Linked DNA regions of Danio rerio. The protein of the gene in region 3 binds, or shares a complex with, the protein of the main gene of each other region. Links are inferred from orthologs where the notes say so. Each region holds a gene or a part of one and is shown on either strand. Other genes may lie near its edges.

The links. The genes of interacting proteins can lie anywhere in the genome.
Region 1: the proteins of gnb1b (region 3) and prostaglandin D2 receptor 2 are in contact, whole or in part, in a cryo-EM structure (PDB 8XXV), measured with the Homo sapiens proteins. The link is inferred for Danio rerio from reciprocal best matches to the Homo sapiens genes GNB1 and PTGDR2. Residues at the interface, in NP_001269468.1 of Homo sapiens: Thr50, Arg52, His54, Leu55, Gly310, His311, Asp312, Ser334, Phe335, Lys337; in NP_004769.2 of Homo sapiens: Cys59, Arg60, Arg62, Lys314, Arg317.
Region 2: the proteins of gnb1b (region 3) and crhr1 are in contact, whole or in part, in a cryo-EM structure (PDB 6PB0), measured with the Homo sapiens proteins. The link is inferred for Danio rerio from reciprocal best matches to the Homo sapiens genes GNB1 and CRHR1. Residues at the interface, in NP_001269468.1 of Homo sapiens: Arg42, Arg46, Arg52, Phe292, Val307, Ala309, Gly310, His311, Asp312, Phe335; in NP_004373.2 of Homo sapiens: Arg145, Ser146, Lys376, Arg380, Asp383, Lys384, Ser386.

Annotation. Positions count from the first base shown.
Region 1 is NC_133176.1:47,345,456-47,356,058, forward strand, and holds the start of prostaglandin D2 receptor 2, read left to right. Parts: upstream 1-4,649; 5' UTR 4,650-4,758; intron 4,759-7,604; exon of another isoform or gene 7,605-7,846; intron 7,847-9,191; 5' UTR 9,192-9,193; coding exon 9,194-10,474; 3' UTR 10,475-10,603.
Region 2 is NC_133178.1:20,399,798-20,410,666, reverse strand, and holds the start of crhr1 (corticotropin-releasing factor receptor 1), read right to left. Parts: upstream 5,955-10,869; 5' UTR 5,101-5,954; coding exon 5,077-5,100; intron 1-5,076.
Region 3 is NC_133181.1:56,062,861-56,073,459, reverse strand, and holds the start of gnb1b (guanine nucleotide binding protein (G protein), beta polypeptide 1b), read left to right. Parts: upstream 1-5,611; 5' UTR 5,612-5,890; intron 5,891-10,599. UniProt on the Homo sapiens protein: Guanine nucleotide-binding proteins (G proteins) are involved as a modulator or transducer in various transmembrane signaling systems.

The sequences.
Region 1 (10,603 bases), on a different chromosome or scaffold from region 3:
GTTTCTGTAATGGTTAAACCATTATAGTATTTCAGTGCTAAAACATATTCAGTGTTATTATTCCTGAATCTCCTAATTTCTTGTTTAATCTAATGATTTAAAAAAAAAGCTGAATACTAGTAAAGCATTTTTTTTATTCAGATGCCCAACAACCAATTTAACAATACGTTTTATTGGCTGAATGTTATGATGGATTCTTAAGACTTGTGAGAGGATTGGAATATGCCGGCTCATATTTGGGTAAAACAAATTCATAAAGAAATTTAAATATTTAATCAAATATTCACATTTTACAAAAAATGATTATTATTCTTTCTATTTCCAAATTATAAATATGTATAATGTGTCAGAATTGTAGTACTAATATAATATAATATAATATAATATAATATAATATAATATAATATAATATAATATAATATAATATAATATAATATAATATAACATTTTGAGATATTCTTACCTTCTCTCTTAAGTCGGTTCCCTATCTGTTGGCTCCTTGTCAGGCTCTAAAGACACATATATAGTGAATGTCTTATCTCTCAGTGTTCAGAAAAAATGCAATCACACCTCAGTGAATGATTAACCAGGAATTATTAATTATTATTATTTTAGAATATTGTCGCGTCACACTCATTACAAAAATTGTAAAATTATGACAGCCTGCATTAAATGTGAATTAAGTTGTTTTATTATGGCAACATGAATAATAAAACCAACCTGATGCTTGCTGTTGAGTGAGGATCAGACTGTAAAACAGTGTCAGATGATGTGTTTTCACTGGGTCAAGCACCTTTGACCATACATGTAAAGCTTATGGATTGCTTCATTTTAATTTGCTTTATGGTCTCCACTCCCAAATGTGTTTTCCAGTACATTGCATATATAAAGTTTAAAAAAAGGTCAGATTCCACATATAAGACCACACCTGTTCTCACTTGCTGATGTTTCAGAAAATACTGTCAGTTGTTTAGTCAATGTTTCCCAGTTCTGAAAAGTCATCCACTGTGTAAAACATATGCTGAAGTAGTTGGTGATTCATTCCGCTGTGGTGACCTTTGATAAATAAGAGACTAAGCCGAAGAAAAATTAATATTTTTAGTTAATAATAAGTTACATAATTTACATCTTCATTGTTTATGTCAGACGGTACAAGTGCAACTATAGCCAAAAAATATCCTTAAATATTTTGTTAATTCACTATATATACATATATATATATATATATATATATATATATATATATATATATATATATATATATATATATATATATATATAGTGAATTAACAAAATATTTAAGGATATTTTTTAAATTTGCAATTCAGGAGATGATTTTAAATATATATATATATATATATATATATATATATATATATATATATATATATATATATATATATATATATATATATATATATATACTTAAAATCATCTCCTGAATTGCAAATTTAAAAAATAAATATTTATATCACCATTTGGCCAGAGCCGTTAAGGGTGGTAAATCCGCATTTTCATTGAACTTATTTTCTACTCGAGATGTAGCCTACCATTTGACAACTCATAATGACCACCATTTTACTTTAAAACCTCCTTTATATCACTTATAAATATAGCATTCTGTCTAAGATTCAGTCAAAGTAACAGCAATGTAGATAACAACCGCATCCTGCTGGTCCAAATCATCATTCTTATACATATTTATCATATACCTGCCAACACTCCAGTTTTTCCCGGGTCCTCAACTTTTTGGTACAGTTTTGAACATCAACACCCCCAACCCCCCCTACCCTGGTCGTCAATCTAATCTGGTCCATTGTACAATTACAATTACAACACAAACAACCCCTGGTACTCAACTTCGTTACTCAGAATAGCCCTGCCAACCAACTCAGCCCCCCTGGTCTACTGGAATTTCGGAGAAAAATGTTGGCAAGTATGCTTTATATTATGTCATGTGACTCATATCGCTTTTCTTACTGTTCGGCATCATCTTGTGACTGAATACTATGTTGCTGCTGCATTCACCTGCACGTTTATGTTTAATTATTAAATCAATACATGTCAAATCAATGTTATGTGTTTACTTGTTTACATTGGGTGGCAAGTAGCCATGTAATAAGCAGGATAATGTATCTAGGCAGTGGTTTTCACAGAATAAAGCCTTTCAGTGTTATATAATCACTGCTGATAAGCCTGTCAGCTTTATTCTGCTAGAACAACCACCTAGATGTACATTATCCCTTACATTTATGACAGTAAATGAGACATTCGCCAGTTAATGTGAAGAGGTAATATCATGCTTTTTTACAATTACTTTCTTAAATGTGTGATGTTGCTGTTTAAGCATGAACAAAATCTGCAAATTTCCAAAGCACAAAGTCCACTCTGAAGCAAGTTATTCTCTATCAGTGAACTCCACTGTAGTCCTGAAAGGTAATTTCGGGCGTGTGCATTAAACAACATTCTCAGTTGAAATAATTCAAGGGTAGAAGGTTTGGTTGAGTCACAATGTGCTATCTGCATGTTTTACAGGTCTAATATTCTGACACATTTTCCAGTGATGGGTTGCGGCTGAAAGGGCATCCGTTGCGTAAAAAAGTGCTGGATAACTTGGTGGTTCATTCCACTGTGGCAACCCCGGATTAATAAAGGGACTAAGCTGAAAAGAAAATGACACCGATACAATCTCCTCCCAAGTGTTTATCTTACATTTACATTTACATTTAGTCATTTAGCATCTTCACAGGCATGAAAAAACAAAGATTATTTGAAAAATCCAAGTTTAAACAATATTGGATGTATTGTTTTGAAATAACCTTGTGTTTTTTTGACATTTGGTGTAAAAGAGAATAAGTATAAGAGGTTTACCTAAAAATGAAAATTTACACTCCATTTATTCACCCTCAAGTGGTCCCAAACCTTTATGATTTTTTTCTGTTATTGAACACAAAAGTCTTGGAGAAAACTGAACTAAACTGAACTGACCACCAGAGTAAGTAAAACAAATACTATGAAGGTCGATAGAGGTTTCCAACATTTTTAAAAATATCATCTGTAATGTGTTTAATGGATGAAAGAAACTAATGTTTGAAATTATAGATATTTTTATTTTTAGGTGAACTGTGCCTTTAAATACTCTCAGATGACGGGCCATCAAACATCTTTGTATGCTCTTAGTGTCTTTGGGCTCAGAAAACAGCTGGAATTTAAACTGACAAAGCTTTAAAATCATATGAGCATCAAAATAAACTAAGACACAAGATGTAAAGGCTCCGCCCTTTACTGGAGAGGAGCGGGGAGCAACAGCTCTATTGCATTTAAAGAGACACAAAAAACTGTGCTTTCATTATTGAGGTATTTACAGTTTAGTTTAGTTTATAGTTTAGTTTATTTATTTATAAAGAGCAATAAAACAGCAGTTGTTGACCCCCCCCCCCCCCCCCCCCCCCCCCCCCCCCCCCCCCCCCCAAACCACCCTCTTTACTTTGTGCTCACCGCGGATTTTCTCCCGGATTTTATGATCCCAATTTTGCCAGGAATGGGGTACCTCGTTCCACATTTTAGGACCTACTTCAGAGCAAGTTTCATCTCCTTTTTTCGTTTATTTGTATCTGGGAACTACTACCATCTTCTGGTTCTATGACCTTAAACATCTGCAAGATATTTTAACAGTAATAATATTAGAGAGATAAGTCTGAGCCTGGCCATTTAAAACCTTAAAAACATACATTAAAATCTTAAAACTCAATTCTAAAACATATCGCCAAACAATTTAAGTAGCACAGGATAGGGTAATGTGTTTAAACTCGGGCTGCATTTTAGACCACTTGAAGACATGATGTGTGATGATGTAAAGGCATGGATTAATCTCTCAAATTCTGCACGAGTTAAAAACTTTTTTTCACTTTGGCTAATAATCTCAGCAGAAAAAAAAACAAGATTTAACAACTGCATTTACCTGTTTGTCAAATAGAAGCTGCTCTTATATTCGACAAACAGTTAAATGCAGTAGTTAAATCCAGAATAAAACCTAGATTGTCCAACATTTGATTCAGCTACAGCATAGTACAATAAATAAATGCGGTATTTTAAGGTTCAAACTTAACGTAACGTGGCTTTTATTAACATTTTTAATAGTTTAAAGTGATATTTTATCTGGGTCAGTGTTGTATATTACGGTACAAAAACGTTGTGCTAAGCTGCCAGTGTATTTTCTGTTATTTTAAAGAGATATTTCTTTATATAATATTTCTTATACATTATATTATTTCAAACCACTAAAGAGTGAATAAAAGTCACTTTGTTAAACAGTAGAGTTGAATTTTCAACATCTGGTCTGAACAGTCTACAGAGCAGAGATCAATGTCAATGCCATAATGCAATTCACGACCATACATAAATGGATAACAAAAAATATGGAAACTGTGCCTTGTGGCTAAAAAGATCGTATAATATAATTTACATGTATTGTTTGGCATTATTTGTGATTTTAAAAGCACGCATAGACTCTAAACAGCTACCTTCTGCATTCTAGAAGAAAACACGGTGGAAAAACATAATGACCCACGAAAACTATTCCTTTCTACTGTGACAGACCCCGCCTCTCCTCATGATGTATTAGACACAGGAATGACAAAATAACATCTAAATGAGAGAGAAGAAAGCAGCGGTGACAGACGAAAGCAACCAAGAGACACCGAAAGATGAATTAAAGAAGATGCTTATAAATATAACGGTACACAAACTTCACAAAAGGTAGGTTTCCTTTCAGTCCATCGTGCTTGAGATAACTGTTAAAAGCTAAAATAGTCAACCTGACTAAACTTGTTCGAGAGTCTGTCAACTGTTTTGCCTTTTATGGTACAAGGAGTCTTGAAACTTAGAGACATTCTTGAGAACAGATTAAAAAGACAAGCACTCAATAAAGCTGAAAAATATTGTTTGAGGTTTGTAAAATAATGAAGATATAAGTAATATTCAAAAGGCAGTAAAGACCTAAATTATATAAATGCCATTTATTTAAATTTATTTCAATCAAAAAACAAAGTTAAAAAATTTCCAAACGGTAATAAAATACACTCAAGCATTCAATTATATTAAAATCATTTCAGAAAGAGAGAAGAAAGCAGAGGTGATAGAACAAAGCAACCAGGAGCACCTAAAGATGAACTAAAGAAGCTGCTTTGAGGTATAACAGTACACTAAAGCTATGTTTTGCTTTAATCCATCATGCTTGAGGTGATTGTTGCAGAATGAAGGCTAAAATAGTCAACCTGACTAAACTTGTTTGAGATACTGTCAACTGTTTTGCCTTTTATGGTACATGGAGTCTTGAAAATCTAGAGACATTTTTGAGAACAGAACGAAAACATAGTGTCAAATGTTTGGGGTTTGTATAAAGAAAAGAATTTATTGGCAGCTTTATTGGCAGGTATGTTTAAGCACTTTGTTTTGGACACAGAGCTTCTAGTGCAACAGAATGACAGAGACATACATAAAAATATTTTAAAAATAGAAGTAGTGAATGCAAATATATAAATTGGCAAGTGTAAAGGTATATTACTATATATAACGTGATATGAGCAGCTGTTGTGTGTAAACTGACATGTAAAGTATGTTGTTGAATAAGTGTATATGTGTATAAAGGGTATTGCAAGTAGTTATGTTTGTTTCACAATTACTATCATAAAGTGTTCATTAGATGGATTGCCTGAGGAAAGTTTGTTTTATATAAACTCTTCTTATATTATATTATATTATATTATATTATATTATATTATATTATATTATATTATATTATATTATATTATATTATATTATACTATATTATATTATATTATTAATTTATTAATTTAAAATATAAATAAATGCCATTTATTTAAAAAAAACGAGTTAAAAATTTTCAAAATGGTAATAAACTAGACTCAAGCATTAAATTATTACAATAAAATGATTTCAGAAAGAGAGAATAAAGCAGAGGTGATAGAAGAAAGCACATATTATATAGGCGGCGCAGTAGGTAGTGCTGTCGCCTCACAGGTTGCTGGTTCGAGTCTTGGCTGGGTCAGTTGGTGTTTCTGTGTGGAGTTTGCATGTTCTCCTTGCGTTTGCGTGGGTTTCCTCCGGGTGCTCCGGTTTCCCCCACAGTCCAAAGACATGCAGGACAGGTAAATTGGGTAAGCTAAATTGTCCGTATGAATGAGTGTGAATGAGTGTGTATGGATGTTTCCCAGAGATGGGTTGCAGCTGGAAGGGCATCCGCAGCGTAAAAAAAATGCTTGATAAGTTGGCGGTTCATTCCATTGTGGCAACCCCAGATTATTGAAAGGACTAAGCCAAAAAGAAAATGAATAAATTAATGAATTATATTATATTTTCTAATTATATAAATAAATGACATTCTTTTCAATTTTAGCAAGGAATAGTTAGATAAAATAAATATGTTCAAACATTAAATCTTTATATTAAAATGATTACTGAAACATCATGTGGAACTGGAAACTGTAACTAATGCAAGTGAAATGAATGCACTGCAAGATTTGGTTAGTAAAAATTCAGGTTTTTACAGATTTTACAGCATAAAAAAAAATAATAATAATGATTTCCCAGTATTAAAGTTTTAACTTTAATACTTTAAGTTTTAAAGTTTAAACTTTCTTAGCAAAATAATGTTGTGTATGCAATGTAGAAATTATTATAAAAACAGACAGTTAAATTTTTGTAATATTAAAAACACGCTGGCAAAAATCAAACTCAAAATCTAGGTTTTAAAATATTTTATAAATAAATATTTTATAAATTGTAGAGAAGTTAAAGATAGAACATGCAAACTCCTCACAGAGATGCAACCCCAATAATGTTAAAGTAAATTAGAAAATGCAAAACTTACATAAAAAGAAAAATTTACATAAAAAGAAGATACCTTATAAACAAATGCGATTTGGACTACAATTATTAATAATACATAATAATATATATATATTTTTTTTAATACAGTACAGGACCTTTGTTACTATACTTGAGTTGTCTTTGTCTTTGTCTTTTTTGGTTTGTATATTCATTAAAACCAATGAAAAAACAATAAAAAAAGATGACATTTTGGCTATCACATTGCGATTTAAAGTAAATGTTGCACGTTTATAATAATAATTAAAGAAAGAAAGAAAGAAAGAAAATACATAATAATTACATGTATTAATTTTTTTCACAACTCTCTTTCCTTTTTCCTCAAACCTTTCTTTGTTTTCTAAGTAAATACTACAGTTGGAGAGATTCATGGGGCAGGCACTGACATGTTCAGGTTAAGCATCATGACAAACTGCATGTTTTACAGGAAAAAATGAGATCCATTATTACTCTTAGATGAAACTGTAGTAGGTTTTACACCAAAACAGCATTTATTAAGTAACACAGTGATTCGTGCTTAAAAAAAAGTTCCTGCTCAGCACAGTAATGCAATAATTTTAACACTATACCACAAACTATTATGAAAGACTCTGAAATAACAAGCTAAAACAAAACACAGACCATGACAAACCTTGTGACTCAAAACTTTTATGACTTTTTGATCACGTCTAAAATGAATAAATATTTCCACATACCTTAAGATGATGTTATTGAGGTCTTGAAGAGAGTGTGGTGTTGTTTTGTATAAGATGAAACTAAGTCAAAATAGCATCAGCACAAATCTCACAGACAGAATAACACAATTAAACATAACCACTGTTCATTAGGGTATTACTGTAAATGCAGTTAAGTAGATAGAGTTTACTTAACTTCAAAACGCATCTGATTATCGTTCACCTCAGCTTCCTATTTCTCTGACATCTCTTCTTCCTCTTATCTGAAAACATTAGGAAATCTGTTGTAAAATACTTTCTTGCAATCTCTGTGACCTTCTTAAAGATGTACAGCAACAGTTCATCGACACCTACATTCTTTATACTTGTCATTTTATTTTGAAATCGGAAACATTTAACTGAACTTTAGCTTTGTTTTAAAAGGATAGTCATGGTTTACTCACCCTCATGTTGATGACTAACTTTTTGCCCCTATGGTGGAATGACTTTATTTTAACTCCTCAGCAGCAGGTAATTCACAATACCTCACACCTCAAGTGCTTTAATGATTTTAAAAAATGGTTACACGAAGAAGCTTAAAATGTAAGAGCTTTTTTTTTTCGAAGTAAAACATTACATTTTATCCTTACAGCAGAAATATAGTCCCTAAGAATACCTGTAAACAGCAACAGTATGTACAGTAAATGTGTAATGTGCCTTATTTGCTGTTATAATGCCATGAAATGTATTTTCAACACAATATATGTACACACATACACATTTTCAAGTCTCTGTTTTCATATTTTACATTAAACTACACCAGTTTTCTAGATAGCATGAGTTCACCTAGCCTTGTTAAAGTGTCAAACTCATTGTACTAAACTTTATAAAGGGAAACTTGTATATACTTGTCTTCTGCAGGCTTCTATACAAGCACAAATACAAACCAACAATTAGAGCATCCTAAAGGAGATATATCACCCTCCGAAGGGAACGGTAGAGTAAAAAAATCATGGCTGCCATATTGAAGTGCTCCATATTGAAGTATTCAAAATGAGCTATTATGAACTGATAGATACTTCAGGCCATGATCCTTTCAGCAGGGAAGTTATTTGGTGTCACACACAGCATTAAGTTCGTAAGGGCTCTTCCCAATGCCCTAAACCCTTACGAGGGATTTGCCAATGGGATAATGGCATACGGACAGGAGCACCACTGGCCGGTATGGACCCAATGAAAGCAGTTCTTGGGTGACACATATAAAAGTAAAGAGGGGGGATGTTGTGAAGAGTCGGGGGGTTTGGTCAAATGGCATGGGCCCTTAAAATCTTCCTAACTTTCCCCCCCTTCCTGTAGGGAATTTGTAAAATGAGCCTATTTCTAAAGAAAAGTGTTTAACTAGTTAAACAAAGCCTTTAGACTCTACAAACTCTAATACAAACTTCTAGACAAGTGTGCTAGAGATGTTTGGAGCTAAAATCTATGTTGGTCATATGAGAGAGATTGGCAAAAAAAAAATCATAAAGAAGAACAGTGAATTTACGCGTATGATTAATTTCAGACTGTGACATAATATATTATTAAAGTTTCTCTTTTTTTAAAGCTTCTTGTTTTGTTTTTTTTAAACAGAAATGACTTCCTCATTCCTGGCCAATTCTTCCCTCGGCCCTTCAGAGCTCCACTGTCCCCTCCTGCAGATGATGATCATTCACCGGCTGAACAATGACAATCGGGTCAACATGGCGGCGGTGATTGTGCATGGTGTGGTTTCCGCTCTGGGGATCCTGGAAAACGGGCTGGTGCTCTGGGTGTTGGGTTGGCGTCTTCAGCGCAAGACTGTTGCCTCAGTGTGGGTTCTCAATCTGGCTCTGTCTGACTTCCTAACCACACTAACCCTCCCGCTGTTCACTTATTACCTGCTAAACGAACACAGCTGGGAGTTGGGTGGGCCATTGTGTGCAGCCCAGGCATCCATTTTTTTCCTCAACATGTTTGTTTCTGCCTTTCTCCTGGCCGCTATTTCTTTGGACCGTTGCTTGTTAGTTACTAAGCCAGTGTGGACTCAAAACCAACGCACAGTGTCAATGGCGTGGAAGATCTGCGGTCTCGGATGGACGTGGGCTGCTTTTAACACGTTCCCATACTTCATGTTTCGTTCTGTTGTGGTTAAACAAGATGGACGCAAACTCTGCTACCACGATTTCGCTCTCTATTCTTCCCCGAACACTTTGAACATAGACTGTAAGGTACGTCAAACGGCGACAGCGGTGTCTAAAGTGTTACTGGCGTTTGTGGTGCCCCTAGTGGTCATCGCCGTCAGTTACGCTTCATTCGTTCTGGAGTTACGGGCTCGCAGAAAGAGGCTTGAAAGCAGGTTAAAAGTTGCGAGAAACGACAAACAGACATCCTCAAAGTTCTTCCGCGTCCTCTCTTCATCAAACGGACAAAACAGCACTCGCCTATCACAAAGTTTCACAAAAATGATCTTTTCGGTGATCGCAACGTTCGTCCTCTGCTGGGTGCCGTACCACCTCTTCTGTCTGCTGGAGGTGACGGCTCAGTACAAAACAGAGTTTGTGGATGTGGTGGAGGAGTACTTACCTTTCGTGACGACATTTTCCTTCCTGAACTCTGTGTTGAATCCAATTATCTACACGTTCAGCTGCCCGGACTTCTGCACCAGGATCCGCCAGAGTCTGGGGACTCTTTTCGAGGGGTTGGTGGAGGAAGCTGGACCTCTGTTGGTTGCTGGACGAAGGAGAAAAAGTGATCTATCATCCCCTATTTTTTTACTCCGCTCCCCCACTACTCCTAGAACCCACCTTGCCCAGCTCAAATCTCAGGGCTCCTTTGACCCCTTTGCCTTTAAAAGCCATCCTATAAATGAGGGAATGAAGGACGCCAAAATATGACTTCATAACATATCCTGGCAATCAAGGTCAAGGTCAAACTTATTGTCTCCCTTTTTGAATGATTTTTTGTTAGAAAAAAGGTCTGCTGTACATAGACACCCACAAGACAACATATATGTATTGAATATG
Region 2 (10,869 bases), on a different chromosome or scaffold from region 3:
CACTGGGTTGATTGTAATTTCACAGAAGCTTCCTGTGCTTAACAGGGCTGAAAGGGTCATGTGTGCAGGTGAAATTATTCTTCCTGTGCAGTAATATAAACACACAAACACATGTCCTTGGGGGCGATTGACCTCAGACTCTTGTTTCCAGCATGAAGTCTGATCTACACTCACAAACAGGTCGAAAAGGATGCGTTCTGAGTATAGGGTTGCATAATATATTGCTTCAGCATCGATATCACAATGTGCACATCCGCAATAGACGAATTGCAGGATAGGCAATGTTGAGTTGAAATTCTACTAGACCAGTAGCTATGATTTTTGGTGTTTATGCAGAGTTGAACTACAATAGAGTAAAATATTATGATATGCCTGTGGTTTTAATGGCTGAGACTGTTTCAAGAGAGCATTTCAAGAGAGCTTAAAGCATTCAGGCAAAAAAAAAAAAAAATGTTAAGACTCCCCAGAAACCCTCTATTGTTTATCTATGATTCTAATTTGTTCCCCTACATAACCGTCCCAATCCAGCATAACTATTTAATTATTTTCAAATTGAGGTATTTAAAGGTATAGCTCACCCAAAATGAAAATTACTAGTGGTTCTAAACTTTTATGGGCTTTTTTATTCTGTTAAACACAAGAGAAGATATTTTGAAGAATGCTGAAAACCTGTAGCCTTTGACTTCAGCAGTGGGAATTACAAACACTACGGAAGTCAATGGTTACTGGTTTTCAGCATTCTTCAAAATATCTTCTTTCGTTTTAAACAGAATGAAGAAACTCATACAGGTTTGAAACAAGTAAAGGGTGAGTAAATAATTACAAAATTGAAAATTCGGGGTAAACTATCATTTTAAGTCATCTGTCATATCAAGACATATTTCAATAAATGTCACAGAAAAAACTAAATATCGCAATGTCCGATTTTTCCAATATCGGCCGGTCTTACTTCTGAGCTCCCATCAGGTGTATGCAACTGATAAAACAACGGGCAGCATCGTGATGGTAATATGCTATGGAAAGAGCTGCAGGGCGGAGAACAAACTGATAATAAATGTCATTGATGGCTTAAGAGGGCAAGATTACACATTCATAAGCTTTACTTCCTCGCAGATGGACATTTTCTGGCCTCATTTTTTATCTCAATCATCAATACGACAAGTCAATCATCTCAGATCTGACATTCTGACCTTACAAGCTGCTAGCTAAAAGTTATGCTTGGTTCAGGCTACATAACATTAATGTCTTTTTATGATATTCACTGTAATGGATTATGCAATTTTCCCTAGATATAAACAGACTTGGAACTCTTTATATTTCAAAGCAAATAAACAATATAAGCAGATAAAAAGAAATCATGATTTTTTTTTTTCTGAATCTGTTTACACTAAAACAATGCAAACAAATACACAACTGATTTCTTGTAAACCGTAACTGCGGAAAACACATCTAAGATACATGGAGATTTTTCTTTAACCATAGTCTTCTTTTTCACACATTTAAACACTCTTTTTAAGCACTGTGATGTGAAAAATGCATCATCATTTGGAGGGCACCAATCAAAATTCTCATTGCTAACCTGAGGTGGACGAAGCATTTTATTTTACTGAAAGGAAAACAACACTACTAAATAGGGCTGCACAATATATAGTTTCATCATCGATATTGCAATATGTGCATCAACAAAAGTCACATCGCAGAATTTTCAGTGTTGAGTGTATGTTTTGGGATTATAGTTGACTTAGAGCCACAGATCAAAACACATGAGATTTGCAGAGTCACTAAAATAGAGTACAAATGTATCATTTGCATGTTTCTTCAGCCTGTGACCTGTTTTGTTTAAAAACAATGCACAAAATATTTTCAATAAAGACTAAATACACTGAATTATTTCTACATGTGAAGACTAAATAGTGGTGTTTTACACTTGATTATTCTAAATTCTAAATCTGAATACTGTTAGACTCCCCCAGAAAACCATAAAATTTATTTAATCATTGCTCTATTGTGTGTATATATTTTGTAATTTATTTGTTGTATTTAAAGCAAGATTTCCTGCCCTACAGAAGCATCCCAATCAGTCTAAATTAATGAATTATTTCCCAATAGAGATATTAAAGTCATTCGGTGAAACTGTACTCATATCGCAATATATATTGCAAAGCAACAAAATCTTGCAATGTTGGATTTTTCCAATATCGTGCATAGACATGGGACGAAAACCGTTTTCAAGGTATAAAGTGATTAGGAAAAGTTTGAGGTTTTAAAACCACCAAAATTGTCTGCTATACCATTCAATTAATGTGTAAGACTTTTTATTCAGCATTTCTTTTTTTTGTTTGTTTTTTTTAGGACAACAGTATTTCCAGCAGAAAATATATCTAAATATGCCATTTTAAATTGTAAAGAAATCTGTGTTTTGAAACTAATGAAAAGAGCAGTCAATGATTTATTTTTTATTATTCAGTCTGCCATGTTTACTGCTACAAAATATTTCAAATGTTTCTCAAAGTAAAATATATATTGTGTTTAAAAATATATTGTGTTTTTTACCAAGACATTTAAAAAGAATATATTTTAGAGCAGTAATCACAATAATGTGAAATCGTTATGTTTTTATCCAAGGTTATCATACCGTCAGAATCTTATACCAGGCCATGCCTAATCGTGCAGCCCTACTACTGAAAATAAGCTGTTATCACCCCAAAAAATAAGCTCACTGATATGTCACTAATTTTAATTCCTAAATATTTGCTGTGTCATGATTACATAACCTCAAATTATACACAGTAAAAAATGGTGGGTTGCACACAATTAATTTGTGTTGGGACAACATAAAGATATTTAGTTAACATATCAGTTTTTACCAATTTAAGTGGATTGAACAAAAACCAATTAAGTTTTCCCCAAACACACTCAAGAAATCAGTTGTTTTATTTTAAATAAATTATGTGAACAAACAGCGTACTTTATTTTTTTGAGTGTACTTTATTTCCTGAACAATCCCTGCTTGATATCTTTTATGGCATGTGTAATGTCAGACGACGATGTAACTTTTTGAACAATCACTAGTTACTGCGTTTAATTACATGTGTGATGTCATTGAGAAGGAGGGACAAGCAATTGTTTTCCTGAAACTAGAGCATAAGCACACAATGTCTCCATTGGAAAGCCACCAGAAATAAAAGAAAGTGAACAACAGTAAGTGCGCATATAACTTCATCAGTCTTTCATTTTGTCATCTTGAAGAACTGAAGAATTTCTCCTTTTGGTCATTGTCACATATAAGACAAAACCCTGTCTTTATTAATTAAAATAATTAAATAAAAAAATGTTAATAAAATCAAAGGATGCAGGCACAGCGCTGATTATCATCCACTGGGAAATTACTGTATATAAGATTAAATTATGAAAAATTACCATTGTTGTTTATAAAGCACCACAACACCCAGATGGATTGTGGCAAAATTTAATTGATGTTGTCTAAACCAGGAATGAATCATTCTTTCAGTTTAAGGAGTAAAAAGCAGATATCGCTTTACTTAAATACCCAGCCAGATCACAGCAAGCTCACCAATGTGCTGATGCAACGCAAAGATGAATATAAGTCAATTAGTGCTTGTATGAATTCCTAATTGCTTTTCTGCACCTCTGCCAGCCACGTGGGACGTTTCACAACTCTGGAAAAGCTGCAAAGCAAAAATCACATTACCGTGTCTTTACTCAGTCAGTATTTCTAAACTTTCATAAAATCAATCATCACTCAAATGGTTTTTCGGAGGAAAACACTCTCTGCTCCAGCTGTCCACAGTGCTGAAAGTGATAAAATGCACATTAATGGTAGCGGAAAGCTTGTATGTTTTGACTGTCAGAGTTTCAGCGCATTACTTCATAATGGTGCCAGACTGGGCCACGGTCCAGAGCAGAGACTGATAAACTCGCTGCATCCTATTTGAGGCTAAAAATAACAGCTCTGTTCCTCTTTACCTTTAAGTGATGTCATTTCGCATTATTTCGAATCTATGATATGCTTGTGATGCTGTGCCAAGCTTCTATTATAAGCTGAAATTGACATTCTTTAAAGAATGTCTTGCAGCTCAGCTGAGGACTGGCAGGGGATTGTGTCCTGTCCCTGCTTGTATTTACTGTCTACAGAATTCAATAGCACACCCACACACTGCTGAGTCACATTGGCAATGATCTCCCTCGTGGAAGGATTGTCATTAATTACCTCCACAGCTTCCCTTAAAATCTCAGTGTCAGGCAATAGTTTAATGACACCCATTAAGTGCTACTCTGCGATAAAAAAAAAAAAAAGTGAAAGAAAAAGCACAGTAAAACTAGAACAAAAACAGCTTTTTAATATACTGTCACTTTCAATAGAAGAAATTAATTAAATTCCAAACACATTTGGAAATGTTTTAACGACAAAAAAGTTTTTGAATATCTGGTTCAACTTCCAGGAACAAAATGCTTTGCAGTCACTTATGATATTCACAGCTGCATATATTATTTAGACTGTAAGTATACCAATATACTTAAAGCATTAAATCTTTTTGTTTACAAGATGCTAGCACCAAACCCAGGTGTTGGGTGATACAATGGAAAAGTAACACGATGTGCTGAATAAAAACTAACCTCTATTCTATAGTAACTGTCAACAACAAAGTGACAGAGCACAGGGTTACTCACACAATACAAAACACACTATTAAAGAATATTGCTACAAATACTAAAGACACAACAAAAACCGGAACGCACAACTATTAACAATTTAACTTTTTAAATGAGACCAAAACACACTGGCACTTTGCACTTAAGGTTCTAGGAACTCTACTTAACAATAAACATGATTTTAATAATAATGATGTACATGTTTATGTTCTTCTCCCATAATTTCAATAGTTTTACAACACAATGCGGTCTTCTACCATTTTTACACCATAGCTAGTTAACTAATAAGCATATTAAAGTTAACCAATTAAATGTTCTTGAGTTTTAGTTCTTGTAGCTTTTATAACAAACAACATGTTTCCAGTAAAGCTAAAACACGCTTTGATGGGATAATAGTCGTACCTGTGGATGGAGGATGCGACTCATTGCTCCAGTGTGTTTTTCTGCAGAAACCTTCAAACAGCAGAGCGCTCTCGTGCTCCAGATGCAGCTGTCCGGATGCTCTGCTCCGGGGTGACAGACCTCTGCTCGAAAAACAATAGATTTGCACCCCGAGGATGATCAGTGCAGCATTTACAACTGGAAATCAGCAGGGCGAATTATGCGCGCATTTGAATCGCTGCCTCATTTTCACCCACTTCCAGAGGAGTTATTATTAATATAAGCGACATATCCTTGTGTTTCGGGGTATTCGGTGGACACTTAATCCTCAATAAACAATCTTCTGTCGAGTTTGACTACTTAAGGTCCTGGGAGGCAGGTGTAAAGCGCTTCAATCACGACACCAATCACGCCCGACACCCAGTCAGTGTTTCCAGATATGATAAGCGTCTCGACCTGCTCCCCTGCGGCTGGAACTGAACTTTTCCAAAAGTACTACCACAATTTTAATCTCGTTTACAAAATTATCCGTTCCTTGTTAACACGGCGGATCCTCTTCACGTTGCGTCCTCGCACTGACTGACCCTCTGTTTGAGTCCCATCGGTCAACGGTAAAGCGTTCACACGAAGCCCTACATGACAGCGAGGAGGCGTCACTGCGCGCGGATAAAAGGAACAGACGCTGAGATTTTGCGCGCGTGCGGGTAAAATGTAGTCCGAGAGAAAATGTGACAACTGTAAGAAGTCTAGCTGACGCGCGAGCGGAGTTCGCCGGTGCAAACTAATCCGTGCCGTTCCCACGCGGGCTGCGCGTCTTTAACCAAACCGGCGGTTCACTGTTTAGCGCGCGCGCTCCGCAGCGGCATGAGACTCAACACCGAGCAGCCTTCATAATGAGTGAATTCCATTCGAAAGTGAGCATCACTACACCCTGTTCAGTCTGAAAGGGGGAGCACTCGAAGAGAGTAGACTCTGAAGGGAACAGGGCGCATTTGAAACACATGGATATGTGTCTACGTCACTGGCACTTATTTTCATCCTAAAGTTATGATGTGAAATCAACATTTTGATGCCGTAATGTTTGCGTAAAAGATTTGTCCTTAAGGTAATTTGCAATGGTGTACGCTGATTTTTTTTCTTTTTTTTTTACAGATTTAAAAGTTTTGTTTTGTAACTATTTGGGTTGCATGAGATTAAAAAAGTGTTTGAATAAAGAAAATGCCATGAAGTAAGTTTGAATTAGCACATTGATTACAGTCAATGCATTATAGATGCACTGATTGAGTTGCATAACCCCTCATTCACTGTGTCTTAAGCGAATGGGTTGTCATGCAGAGATAAAACATAATATCAAATCTTTAATATGAAGTTTCATCTGAAGGTTTTCTAAAATGTTTGAATGAGAGGTGACAGGATATGCCAATTTGTCTCAATAATAGGTGCCTCCAGTATGAAAGAGAGCCATTATCTACAGTGGTGGGGTTTTGTCTCATTTATGGACAGTGCATTCAACATGAACATTCACACTTTTGTATGGCTTTGGAGAATGCGATCTGTTTGTCAGTATGCAAAGCAAAAGTATGTTATTTAGCATAAGTGTAATTTAGAAAAAAATTGTCATCCCATTTCCCCAGGGCGAAAAGTGCTTATTTTGGCTTTATACTTTATGCAACGCTAGGGAATCATATAATCCTTTAGCTCTTTTTATCTCTCGATCCATCCAGCTCTCCGTCTAATGATCCTTCTAGTGCAAAGAAATTCTGGACAGTTTTGTCTAAACAATATAGCATCAATTAGGTTTGTTACATACTTTTTTTTTCACTAAAACATATATGTATACACACACACACACTACATCTTAAACTCATGGTGAACTTTAGTTTTCAGTATTGTTGTTACCACTCTTATGTAAAGCTGACAGCACAGCAAATCCTCCACATGTATTTCCAGACACTGTCCCCTTTTTAGATTTAAATTTGTTTTCAGGGTCAGGAATCGCAGCAAGTCCAAGACAGAGGTGTCGAAAAGAACAACTGGCTATATTCAATCATTCTCCATATCGCATTAATGCAGGTCTGCATTCTAGTTGCTTTATAAAGACACAGGAAATGATTCAAAATGCACGACCCTCCACAAGCTGTCTGAGGTCAGCCTGATGATTCAACGTGTGTTTCATTATTAAAATTGTTTACCGTGTTAAAATGAACTGCAGCTCGTACAAATATCTGTATTGCAAGATTGATTTTTTTTAAAACTTAGAGTTAGAGTTTAACCAAATGTTGTGTATGATATTATTTCTTTTGTGGAACACCAAAGAAGATATTTTAAAGAATGTTTGAATTCTTTTTCTTTTTTTGTTTTTTTTTGTTTTTGTTACAACAGTGGACTTTCACTAAACAGTTTTGTTCAGATAAAATAAATAAAAGCACTCAGCAACGCACAACAAGTAAATAGTGAAAATTTAACACTGGATTAAATATTTTTTTAAAAAGTAATATCTTCCAATAAACAGACGATACTTTAGAATATAAAAGTAATGAACACCAAAATTTATAAGTGTTTTATTGCATATAATTATCTATTGTATCTGCCACCTGCGTACAGTAAATCTCATGTCATGCTGTCAGAAATCCATATATATTTTTTCTCTTACACACTTTCCAGGAGAGCCATTCAAGACAAAACCATTCATTATGACAGCACCTGCAGTGCCATACGTCTCATTTTACTTTATGGCATACTGTCAGCTCTGCAGTGACATATTGACATCAGTTATGATGGCGCACTGTGCACTTTCGACATGTTGTACGTGACTTATTCATATCGCCACTAATCGTCACAGGGGCATTTCCGAACAGAGTCAAAATGGTAAGGGTGATCTTGTCCTCCCAAAGGGAAATGTCCTTTTAGCCTGACTGAATTTAAGAGCAAGCTCTAAAAGCAAGCAGGATAGGCATTATTGATATAGACGTATGCACTTGACAAGATCAGATTCTGTTTTCCTTTTAGGCCTGGAAATGAGAGTTGAACTCATTTTTAATATGTTGAGAAGTGATTTTTCTTTATATCTGTTCCATTTACTGTTTATTTAGGAAATGATTCAGCCCACACACATGTAATTGAGTGGAGAATATTTATGCTAAAAGATGAAATACATACCGGAAAGTTATCTCAGTGATACTAGCCTTTTCTTTTTCAGCAAAACATGACAGCTTAATTTGATGCAGGGCATTTTTATAGCCTCAGGGGTTGTTCAGTTTAATTTGTCTTGGTTGTCGCTGCTAAATAAAACGAAACTGGGTGACATAATGAAAGCTCTTTCTAAAAGTCAAAGGTCATGTCCATCAAACTACCACTAAGACTTCCGGCTAAAAAGTTTAGGGCATTCTCATTTATTGCTAAATAGATATAATTTGCTTCTTGGTTTGATTGATAATCCTTGTTTTTGTTTTGGAAAATTGTGTGACTATTTTTCAAAAATGTTATAAACATAAAAAACAAAAACAGTAACTACACAACCTTAAAAAGAACCTTGTCATCGATTCCAATTGTAAGAGCAACAAATAATAACTGGACTTCTAGTTGATCATTTGGAAAAGTGGCAGAAGGTAGATTTTTCAGATGATTCATCTGTTGAACTGCATCCCAATCCTCACAAATACTGCAGAATACGTAATTTGAACCTGTATGGACCCAAGATTCTCACTGAAATCAGTCAAGTTTGGCAAATGAAAAATTAGGGTTTGGGGTTACATTTAGTATGGGGCCGTGCGAGAGATCTACAGGGTGGATGGCAAAATCAACAGCCTGAGGTATCAAGACATTTGTGCAGGCCATTGCATTGCAAACCACAGGAGAGGGCAAATTCTTCAGCAGGAAAGTGCTCCTTCCCATCTATCAGCCTTCACATCAAAGTTCCTGAAAGCAAAGAAGGTCAAGGTGCTCCAGGATTGGCCAGCCTAATCACCATACATGAACATTATTGAGCATGTCTGGGGTAAAATGAAGGAGGAGGCATTGAAGATGAATCCAAAGAATCTTGATAAACTCTGGGAGTCCTGGAAGAACGATTTCTTTTCAAAGTTATTTGAGTCAGAGATGTATGGATGCAGTCCTCCAAGCTCATGGGAGTTATACACAATAATTATTTTTCCACTTTTTTTCACTATAACTTTATATTCTATACTGTACAAAATTACTGTTAAGTGACAAGACTTTTGTTTAAGCAAAGTCAGAGCTTACTGTCCTAAATAAATAATTAAAAATCAAGACATGATCATATTTTATTTTGGTAAAATAAACGTAATCTAGAGGCCTTTGCCTTTTTTATAAGCCACTTCTGATATCAAATGATCAACTAGATCTCAAGTTATCATTTGTTGGATAGGTGACTTTTTTCAGGTAGTGTACAGTATAAGTAAATGCAAAAAATAATGGTATTATTAACATAAAGAGTTTTTGTGTATGTGTGTGTGTGTGTGTGTGTGCGTGAGTGTGTGTATTTATTGCTATTAAGCAAAAAATACAATTACTTACAAGAAATACAATTACAGATTTCCTTTTTTTATTTAAGCCACTATTAGCTGTTTTTGTATAATTTAACATATACACCTCATTTAACATGAAGATCAACTTTTGATTCAACTTTTTTTTTTTTTTTTTACCACAATTTAAACAATATTTCAATCAGAATATTTTGAAGCTACAAGAATACCTCTGTAAAAGCATAAGACAAAAATAATGGCTTTATTCTCCAGAGTTGAGGATGTCCTTCGGTATTTATTTTTCTGGACAAGTCAGGACTGTCACTGTTTATGGAGGATAAGGGAGCTCTCAGATTTCATCTAAAAAATCTTGATTTGTGTTTGAAGACTGACGAAGGATCAAGGGAGATATAAGACCATGAGGCTGAACGGTAAAACATAATTAAAATTGTTGATGATCTAATCCTTTATTCATTCAATCATTTTCTTGTCGGCTTAGTCCCTTTATTAATCCGGGGTCGCCACAGCGGAATGAACCGCCAACTTATCCAGCAAGTTTTTACGCAGCGGATGACCTTCCAGCCGCAACCTATCTCTGGGATACATCCACACACACACATTCACACACACACTCATACACTACAGACAATTTAGCCTACCCAATTCACCTGTACCGCATGTGTTTGGACTGTGGGGGAAACCGGAGCACCCGGAGGAAACCCACGCGAAGGCAGGGAGAACATGCAAACTCCACACAGAAACGCCAACTGAGCCGAGGTTCGAACCAGCAACCCAGCGACCTTCTTGCTGTGAGGCGACAGCACTACCTACTACTGTACACAAATTGAATAGAATTATAAATAAAATCAAAGGAATAAACAACATCATACAAACATGAAACAAAGGAAAAAGCATACTCAAATGGCTCAGGTATTATAGATCTTTTCTTTGAGGCCAACAATGGTAAAAGCCCAGCCCCCTTTCACTTAAACTATATAACCGAGTGTCATCTGCATGGAAAAGCACTCTGTTTTCTAAAAAAATTGATCCCAATGAGAGTGGATGCAATGAGAACAAAATAGGGACAATAATAGATCCATGGAGAACCCCACAAGTTAGATGTGCATTGGAGGAAAAACAACATCCGATACATTTTTTTACATGAACTGAAAAGGTTCTATTGTTTAAATAAAATTTGAGCAAATTAAGAGCAAGACCTTTAATACCAGCACAATGTTCAAGTCAAAAAAGAAGAATGTCATGACCGATTGTATCAAAGGCTGCACTCAAACACAACCACCTAAGTTTTACAAAATCCCCAGAATCAAGA
Region 3 (10,599 bases):
ACCACCAGTGTGCAGCATCCACTTGGATTATGTGACAGGAGCCACAGGACAATGGCACCAGTGCGCTCACCACACACCAGCTATTGGTGGAGTGGAGAGACAGTGATAGAGCCAATTCGGTGGAAGGGGATGATTGGGAGGCCATGATCGTAAGGGCCGATAGAGGGACTTTGGGCAGGACACCGGGGTTACACCCCTGCTCTTTCACGAGAAGTGCCATGGGATTTTTAATGACCACAGGGAGTCAGGACCTCGGTTTAACATCTCATCCGAAAGACGGCGCCCACTGACAGTATAGTGTCCCCTTCATTTTTACTGGGGCATTAGGACTCACACAGACCACAGGTTGAGCGCCCCCTGCTGGCCTCACTAACACCACTTCCAACAGCAACCCAGTGTTCCCTAGTGGCCTCCCATCCAGGTACTGACCAGGCTCAGCCCTGCTTAGCTTCAGTGAGTATCTGGTCTTGGGCTGCAGCGTCAATCATTCCCTACACTCAGAGTTTCAGCTCCTTCCTTCTGGTCCAGGTTTCTATTAATAAGCTGTAGAACAAAACGATTCAAAAATATTTTCATACCAGCAGCCATTAAATATTTAAATAAGGCATAGACTAAAGCAGAGATGTTTCAGTGACTTGTATATTTTAGATCATTTTAAACATTTACTTGGGAGGGGGTGGTGGGTGGACACCTAAAGTGATTATTTATTTATTCTTTATGTTTACGGTTTATGTCTTATTGTTCATTTGTTGTTGTTACTATGTGAGTTCCTTTGAGTTTGGCACTGTTATGAGATGGGTACTCTTGACTGCAAACCAAATCTACCTTTGGGTATAAATAAAGTAACCTACCTACCTATATTTATACAAAACAACTCACATAAATCAACCATCATTCCATTTTAGACATTTTTGGGATGAAATACCTTATATTTACTGTATGTTTTTATTTCAGGACAGATAATATCAGTTTCTGGTAGAATGTCCCGTACACTGACGAATCAGGAGGCAAAAATCTATAGCAAAGTAAAAGGAAGTTGTGCATTATTTTACAAAAGCTCATCAATATAGCGTGTTGAAAATTAATACGTCCCAAGAGAATCGCATAATAGCTTTTAAAGTTCTTGTACTTCCTCATTTTAATAAAAAAATACATTTCAAATTACATATTTTTTGTACATGCTTTATTGTACTGTTGGTAATCCTTGACGTATTTTGAAATACAAAACAAATATTGTGGTAAACACACAAGAAAGACACATGACTATTCCTTGGCTAATAATAACATATTTAGTCATTTATATTTAGTAATACTTTACAGAGGTGATTGAAAAAGAATAAAATGAAAAATGTATGATGAAGTTTCAATTCATGGCGTTTGCAATACTAGGGCGGCACGGTGGCTCAGTGGTTAGCACTTTCACCTCACAGCAAGAAGGTCACTGGTTTGAGTCCCAGCTGGATTAGTTGACTTTGTGTGGAGTTTGCATGCTCTCCCCTTGTTCGAGTGGGTTTCCTCTGGGTGCTCTGGTTTCCCCCACAGTCCAAACATATGCGCTATAAACTGAATAAACTAAATTGGTCCTAGTGTATTCAATTCAATTCAGCTTTATTTGTATAGCGCTTTTACAATGTAGATTGTGTCAAAGCAGCTTCACATAAATGGTCATAGTAACTGGAACAGTGTAGTTCAGTTTTTTAGTGTTTAAGTTCAGTTCAGTTTAGCTCAGTTCAGTGTGATTTAAAATCATTAGAGTTCAAACACTGAAGAGCAAATTCATCGATGCGTAGCTCTACCAATCCTGAACCATGCGAGCCAGTGGCGACAGCGGAGAGGGATAAAAAACTTCACCTGATAGGAGTGGAGAAAAAAAAACCTTGAGAGAACCAGACTCAGTTGGGGACGACCATTTTAATTTTTCCGCTGGCCAAAAGTCTTGTGCAGAGCTGCAGTCACCGTGGTGGAGGCTAGAAGCTGGTCCTGTTGACATTTCTGTATGGAGTTAAACATTAAATCGGACACTACACACACACACACACACACACACACACTCCTTCTTCATGTATATTATCTATGTTTGTATGCATTTGAGTAATTTGTAATAATTGAGGAATTTGAGCTTTCATTACTTGTTACTTTGCATTTATAAGTTATTTTGGATAAAAGCATATGCCGAATGCTTGAATTTAAATGTAAATATGACTAAAGTAATTTACTTATGCTTGAGCCCAAAAATATAAATAAATAAATAAACACAAATAAATAAATAGAAAAATAAATAAATAAATAGAAAAATAAATAAATAAACACAAATAAATAAATAAATAAATAAATAAATAAATAAATAAATAAATAAATATAAATAAATAAATAAATAAATAAATAAATAAGTAAATAAACAAATGAACATAAATAAATAAACATAAATAAAAGAAATAAAATAAAATAAATAAATAAAAAATATTTAATTAAAAAATAAATACATAAATATTAATTAATAATTACACAAAGATGTTGTTCCCTTCCCAAATGAAAACACTGTCCAAACCTCTTTGACTCTCTTTTTAAGTTTCTGTCTGCATTTTGAAAAATGATGGTGTCCGAACAGTCGATGGTCACCATTGAGTTCCAGTGTGAGAAAATACAATGGAAGTCAATGGTGACCATTAACTGGCAGTGGACGTTAAAGGTAATCAATCATTCTGTCAGTGAGCAACTATTTTATACAGGATCCCCACAGGTCATGGACTTTCTGGGATATCATGGATTTTTATTAAAGCGCCTGTTCTAGACATTGAACTTTATAATTTTTTAATATATTTTTGTCCAAGTCATGAAATATCAGACATTTTTTCCTGTTTGTTGATTAAATTACTACATTAATTCATAGACAATAATGTTTGTTTGCAGTATAATTGAAGCAATTTACCTTTATGTTAAATTAGTTTTTTCCTCACCAATAGTTACTTTTACACAAGATTTTTGGTAGTCAAACAAACATTACCAAAATATAGTTTTCTTTTTTTTTAATAGCAATAGAAATATCAGTTGTTTTTGTTGTCACGTCTATACAAGGGTGGATTTAACCAATAAGAGAGGTAAGCAGCCGCTTACGGGCCCTAGGAAATCTAGAGGCCGCCATATCTAGAAGTATAAATAATACTTATAAATTATTGAGTGCTCAGCATTATTTAGCACAACTCATTTAGAAACTGAATATTTTTATTTCTCAGTGAATGTAGGCAATATGTTTTCGTGCATTTAAATAAAACAGATTTATTAAACAGATATATTTATTAAAATTAGTATTTTAGTCACTAAACATATTTTGAAATTAAATATAAAACAATTAAATTCAAGCTAAATATTGCAAAAAAAAAATTTCAACCTACAAATTTTTTTTTGCTTCTCTTGATTTTTCCTAATATTTTTCTATAACATAAATTTGGCTGTACTTGTTTTTGGACTGTTATTGTAGATTGTAGTATTTTGTTAGATTAGCTTCAGATTTGGCTTCTGTACTTACTAATCTAATGCACATATATAATATTGTATAGCTTCCTATTATAAATATGAAAAGATAAAAGACAAATTTGTGAGGGGTGTACTAATTTATGCTTAGCACTGCATCACAGAACTTTCTGACAATTTTTTTATGGTAAAGGTCTAACAAATAAAATATTAATGTTATTATTCCATTTACGCAAATTTGCACCCCATCCAGAATTATAGAGCAGTCATTCAGTCATTTTCTGTCTCTGATTTATCAATCTCTAATTTATCAGAGGTTGCCACGACAGAATGAACCCCCAACTATTCCAGCAAATGTTTTTACGTAACCCGCAGTCAAATCTGGCAAAGATTTTGTTTTTAAAAACGAAATAGTCTATTTATTATTTCAGTTGTATTTTTATTTAAATCAAACTAATTATTTAAGATGTAGAGATTGCATTATGATAAAACATAGAAAAGGAGATTTAGTGATATAAGAAAAAATAAATATATAAATAAAAGTACAAAGGGTGCATTTTAGAATTGTTGGGGCCCTTTGGGTGGAATTGCTTAGGGCCCCTAAAAATTAATGTAAAGTTGGTTTTATATTCACACATTGGTTCAGTAACAACTTGTTACATGCGCTCTTGTTTAGCATGTTACTTTGAATATTCTGAAATCGCGTGCAAATACGACTTCAAAACAAAAAAAAATTTATTGATTAAACAGGGGAGTACATAATTATACATTAAACAGTATTCAAGAAAATTAACAACAAAAATTAATTATGTACATTAAGTATTTTTCCAGCAATTGGGATGTCTTAAACTTTAGTATTACTCTGTATAGAAGTGAGGGAATCATAAAATTATTTAGATCAATGAAGAATAGTTTACACTTTAATACAGTCAGCATACATTTTGTTTTGCGGATGTGATACTTTCCAAATAAAATAAGATTTTTTTTGTTATTTTGTCCATTTCCCAGAGTTGCAGTCCATAAATAAAACCATTTTATCAGTTATATTGATAAATTTACAATACACTTCAAAAAGTAGTGAGAAAACTTGGGACCAAAGCCGTTTTGTGTAACTGCAACTGAAAAATTAATGAAGAATTGTTTCCAGTTCCATTTTACAAAAACAACACAAAGGTGAAAAACCTTCCTTAAACCTACTAATAAAACCATTGCATGGATAATATCTATGTAATATTTTACAAATAGTTTATTTTACTTTATTGGGAAGTATGTATTTTGTAAAATCTGACCAGAGTTTTGGGGGAAAAGAATGAAGGGAATGCTTGTTTCCATTTAACCATTGCTATTAGAGGAACACTTTTATCTGCAGTCAGGATTTTCCTGATATAATTGTTATTCAGTTTTTTATCCATGATAGAGAGGCCCTTAATAGTAAGCTCTGGAAGAGAGCCAGATACATGGTTATATATTTTTGTGGTTTTAATAAGGTACATTTATTTTAGGGAGATACAATGAACACATTTTTTTTTGTATTTATTCAAAGTATTTTTTTAAACCAAAAGTGTTAATAAATTCACTGTAATTATATAAGTCCCCTACACGATTTCTCAAAACAACATTAGCACTATTAACATCAACACTGTTGGACTACTTTGATAGTCATTGGCTGCGAATATGATTTAACTATTCAGAATTAGCAAACAATACTTTTCTCAAATGATTTTGTTAATATAATTATTATTATAAATCTCTAAATTTGCACTTGTGCCTATATCAAAATCTCACTTCAAACAAAGTACAGCTAAACCTATAGAGAAAAACCTGTTCTGTAGTAAATTGTGACAAAGCCTCGGTCTTCTCCATAAAGTCTTTGCTCAGGTTAATCTATTAATGGAATATGGGTTGTATAATATTTTTAAAAACGTTAAGCATTTTAAAAAGTACATCAGTGTATTCAAATCTTGCTAAATTGGCTTGGAAATGTTTCTGTCAATTCCATTCCTGCGTAAGAGCGCCGCTCGCCCGTGCGCTGCGGCGTGGGGTTTCCCAGGGCAGACTGCAGGGTTACCGCGCCCATCTCCGTCTGATGGCCGGATGAGAGGTGAACTGAACTGGAGAGAAGTGTTCCTTCAAGGAAGGCAACGGGAAGTGGCCACCGACGGACTTATTAGCTGACCAAAGTCTCCAATCGGACATTTATGAGTGCAGCTTTTCCTCGCAGTTGAGATCCCCCCTCGTACAGGCTCATTTCCCGCCCGCCGGAGCGAGTTTTGTCGCTGTGGAAGTGGACTCGGTACTTCTCCCGCTGCTAGTTAGCGAGCTAGCTCGTCTTGTTCGTTGATGCGTGGATTTGACAGCCACACCATCGTTTTTTTCGGTCAATGCCATATAAACAAAGGCCATTTACGACTGAGAACAGGTATGGAACACTATGTGCTTATTTCAAGTGTGTGGAACTGAATGTTTCGTTCTAATCGGGTGAATTTGTTGGATAAAATGCTGGTCACCATAGAGAATGAAGGGGGGTGGGGTGAGGCGCAGGTAGCGGCTAGCCGAGCGATTTACATACACAACAGTGGCAGGCAAATATGCGAAAAACGGTTGTTTTAAACAGTTATCATCGTGTGTGTTTTATTAATGTGAATTTATAGTGCATTTAATCTCTCGCTCGGTCATTATGGCGTGAACTGAGTCGGCCGACTTAACCGGAGGCCGTTTAGTGCGAGTTCGCTTGTTAGCACCCAAAAATCGGCGTTACTTCAGAATTAAACCAATTTAGGTTTGGGGGAATTCAGTAATGTGCTTGATAGGGGCATTTTAATAGCAATTAAGATTGCTTTAAATGTTAAGTTTGGGGGGTTTTGGTTGGAGGCTGGTCTGTAAGCTAACAGGCTAATTACCGGAGCTTCTGCTGGCAAAATATTCGGCTTTTCAGCTCAGCTAGGCCTTCCTCTGTGTTACAGAATCGAGGATTTTTGGTTAGGCAAATGCTGGTTTACACACTCTCGTGTACTACAAGTGAATATTGATCGAAATGCAGTCGGTAAATAAAGATTAGCCATTTATTTGTTCACCCGATCGTCTATTGCAATCTACACCATCTGGCTGTATATTACAAGCCGTCCTAGTGTGTTTTCCCCTACACACATTTACATGGAGATGGATTTATTACGAGTCAGAATGGCGTAATCCGAAATCCCGTGTGCATTTAAGCGACTTAGCTCGTGTTAATGTTTATTGCGTTAAGTGTGCGCTGCTTCTTTTAACTACTCTTTTAAACAACCTAATTGGATTTCATTAAGCCTGTGTTTAAAGGGCCTTTGCTGTTCAGGTATATAGGTGCACTGCCTCTCTTCGCGACATCTCGGTGATGCTCCGCTACGATTCTCGCTGAATTGCTTTTGCTGACGATAAAGAATAAAAGACCTGCTAGATGTGTTTTCTCCTGCGATCGTGTATCAGAGTAATGCAGCAAAGAGCTTTGCAGTTCTTCAGATACGCGAAATGAATGGAGCCGGATGGCCTTTATCATCGCTGCTGGAATATTTTAAGAACGGGCTAGCGGCTCAGTATTGAGGTCACTATTAAGGGATTGGTCGGGGAAATATAGGCTATGGGATAAATATGTTGCGCCCCCTCCTTCTTTTTTCCCCTACCGATCGAGTTTGCCTTTCTCTTCGCTGGCATTTAGATAAAGGAACACCGTTCATGAATAAATAAACGGAATCAATGAATTCTTCAATGTGGGGCCCAAGAACAAGATGGCGTCCGTAGCCTCTCTCTCCGGCTTCCCTCTCCGCACTCATATCAGCATGCCGTTCATTTAACCCGCTGAAACGCCGAAAAAAGCACCGTTTTGCTCTTAAACGAAGCTCGTTGTTTTAAAAACGATTCCAGGAACATATTTTGAAGCTAGAGTTTATCGTTTTTTTTTAAATAAAATGCTCTTTGTGTGGCACCTAAAGCTGCATAACCTCATCCTTTATGACGCGAAATGCAATTGTGAAATATCAAATAGTGTTTCGAGTCCACCGTGACGTGATCGTTCACATTTTGTTGATTTCAACTTGTGCTTCTGGTGCTATAAATGTAGACATTTCTTTGCAGTCATGCACATAAGCTCTCACAATACCCTTTTGTGTTTAGATAATGCACTTTTGTTTGATTTTATTTTAAAACAAAAGCATAATGGATGATTCATTGCATACATTGTTGTTTTTAACTCCCTCCCAGACATCCTGCTTTTTATGCACCTAAGTTGGTTCTTTGCTTATCATGTTTATTATAGTCATTGTTCATGTTTTACTCGGCAGTGTTACATTTGCTGAAGCATTACTTGTAATCCATTTGCATTATACATTGTGCAATCTGCATTGATACACATGCAGTTTTGTAATTGTGGATAACTAAAAGCATCAGATTGATTCGCAGTGGGCACCTCAGAAGCTGATATGTGTATAATTATGATGGAATAATTGAAATCTATTCAGATAATGTAATTCTGAATATCTATTTTGATTTTCAAACTAACGCCCATTTGTTTTCGCAGGTGTTTTAATGCAAGCATGTTGAGATTTGAGCATTTCCATGTAAATGTCAGCCTTGTCATGAAAAAACTAAGCTTCAACCAAAATAACGAAACTGTTTCTACATTTTTGGTGTTGGCAAATACTTTGCAGTGCTTACACTACTCAAAAATCTCTCTGTCAATGTTTTCAAACTATTATATTTGATTTAGCAAAGTCACACAAGTGGCAATTTCACATCTGCCACATCCATAACTTTCATCTCATAAATGCAAAAATCTAAGGTAAAATAAGTCATGTTTGCTCTGTAGAGGAACAACTCTTATCCTTTTAATTAGCATTGTTTCTTTTGGGTTGCTTTGTTTAATTCATAGAATTTCTATAAAGTATGTTGTATACTGCAAACTTGCAGACTTTTTTTTTCATCATCCATAATGCATGTTTACTTTCTTTATTTAAAATCTAAAATATGTTTACAGAGATTTTTTTCTGATCCCATAACTCTGTGATTCTGGAAATATAAACCGATTTTTCGATATAATGTTCACATCAACTTTTTCTGTGAATTTAAGGTTTGAGTTTTTACTGAATTTATACATCCATAGCGTTGGAATTGCTCAATTGCATTATTTTTTTATCAAGTTTTTACCCCAAAAAATAGTTTCTGTATTTAAAGTAGGCATGGGACGATAACCGTTTTTATGATATACCGCAGTTTGGAAAAGTCAAGGTTTTAAACCCTTCTTTACCTTCTATACTTTCCCTAAGGTATGTGATTTAAAAAAAAAAATGTATTTACGTTTTATTTTTAGGACCACAGTATCTTCAGCAAAAAAAAGTTATTCAAAAATCTTGTTTAAAATTGTAAAGAAATCTTTGTTTTAGAGACTGATGAAGACCGTAGAGGTCAATCATTCATTTTAACGATTTAGCCTGACATGTTTACTGCTCCAAAATATTTAAAATGTTTCTCAAAATGAAATATGCTATGTTCAATGGGGGAAAAGTTTTTGTTTTTAACTATGAATTTAAAGAGAACATATTTTAGAGCTGTAATCATAATACCGTGATATTTTTATCCAGGGTTATCATACTGTCAGAATCTTACACCGGTACATGCCTAATTTAAAGTTACCTTTATTTGCATGAATGATAGCTAGAAGTTGGTATAGCATAAATAATAAAAGTCTAGTAAATACTTTAATACAGAGGTTAAGCTCCCCTGAAACACTACCACAAATTCTTGTGTACTGCAAGCCCAGCTCTGGACAGCTGTTTTTCCATGGGTGACGCTGAGAGGGATTATAGATTTACTGTACGTGGATTTTAGCTTTTAGGATTACAGGCTTGGATAGTGATAGTGCTGGTTACTGTCTTTTCTATGATCCAGCTTTAGCGATATGCATTTTATTTTTCTTTTGTTAATGCCTAATAAGCCGCGCCATCCTCAAACATTTGGTGTAATTCATGTTGATGGAATAAAGTTCGTCAAATGAAACGTTTTAAATGTGTTCAGATCAGCAAGAAAAAAAGGGTTGGTTAAAATAAATGTTTTCCAAAAGGATCTAAGAACGAGTTGCCCTAGAGTGACCTGAGAATACGCAGTCTGTGGCACCTTTAGGCCATTTCTTACAGCTCTCTTTTTGTCCTGCAGTCAGCTGACTCTGATCAAGTGTTTGTTGAGAGGGTGAGATTGAGCTCTGCTTGCACATATGTTGATGCCTTACTGCATTTAGCCATTCGACTTTGCTTTTGTGCTATCTTTGCATCTGGCCTTTGGCACAGCATATCCAGTATTTATGCATAATGAAGTTTCATTTCGGCAAAGAGCGAGCCCTGCTCTTGATTTTGAACACTGAACTACATTGTTAAATTCTAGCTTTGCATAAATTGATGACCGTATCATAATCTGTCATTGTTAAAGTGGTTTTTATAACAGGATGATTAAGCTAATACTGTAAATTAGTAATATTTGGGCTCTTTTTCCAGGTTTTAAATAATATAAAGTGAGAAGTGTTGTTTTTTATTATTTATTTATCCTTTTTTTATGTGCATCAGTCTCAGTAGGTTAGTTTTGGAGGCATTTAACTTTGCAGTTCAAGTTGTAGAGTGTGTTTCTGCTCGTAAATGTGTAGTGTGCATTTTAAAAAGAATTTGGTCATGTTAGGTTTTTTTGATGTATATTGCCAAGGGATTGTTTTTAAAGCTAAAGTTGTAGCCCTTCTTGTTTTTTCAGACATAAGTAAATACATATTTTTACATATTTTGCATATTTTTGGGGGCTGGGGGTTATTGACTACACTGATATTGATGCTGATAGTTTGATATTGGAAATCTGTACAATTAGTGTTGTGTACACATGATTTTTTTTAATTATTAAAGCTATACATTCTTTATATGCATCTATTTTCCCTAAAAAATTTAAATATAAATTGTACTTTTGGATTGGCGATGTAGTTGTTGATTTTTTTTAAAAAAAATTTTTGCTACTAGAATTTCAGTATGGATATTTTCATGTTGGGTTTCACTGTTAAATGAGAACTGAAGGTGAGGTAAGGGACTTACCTTTTGTAACCATGTCATTTTGATCAGCAAGATTAGA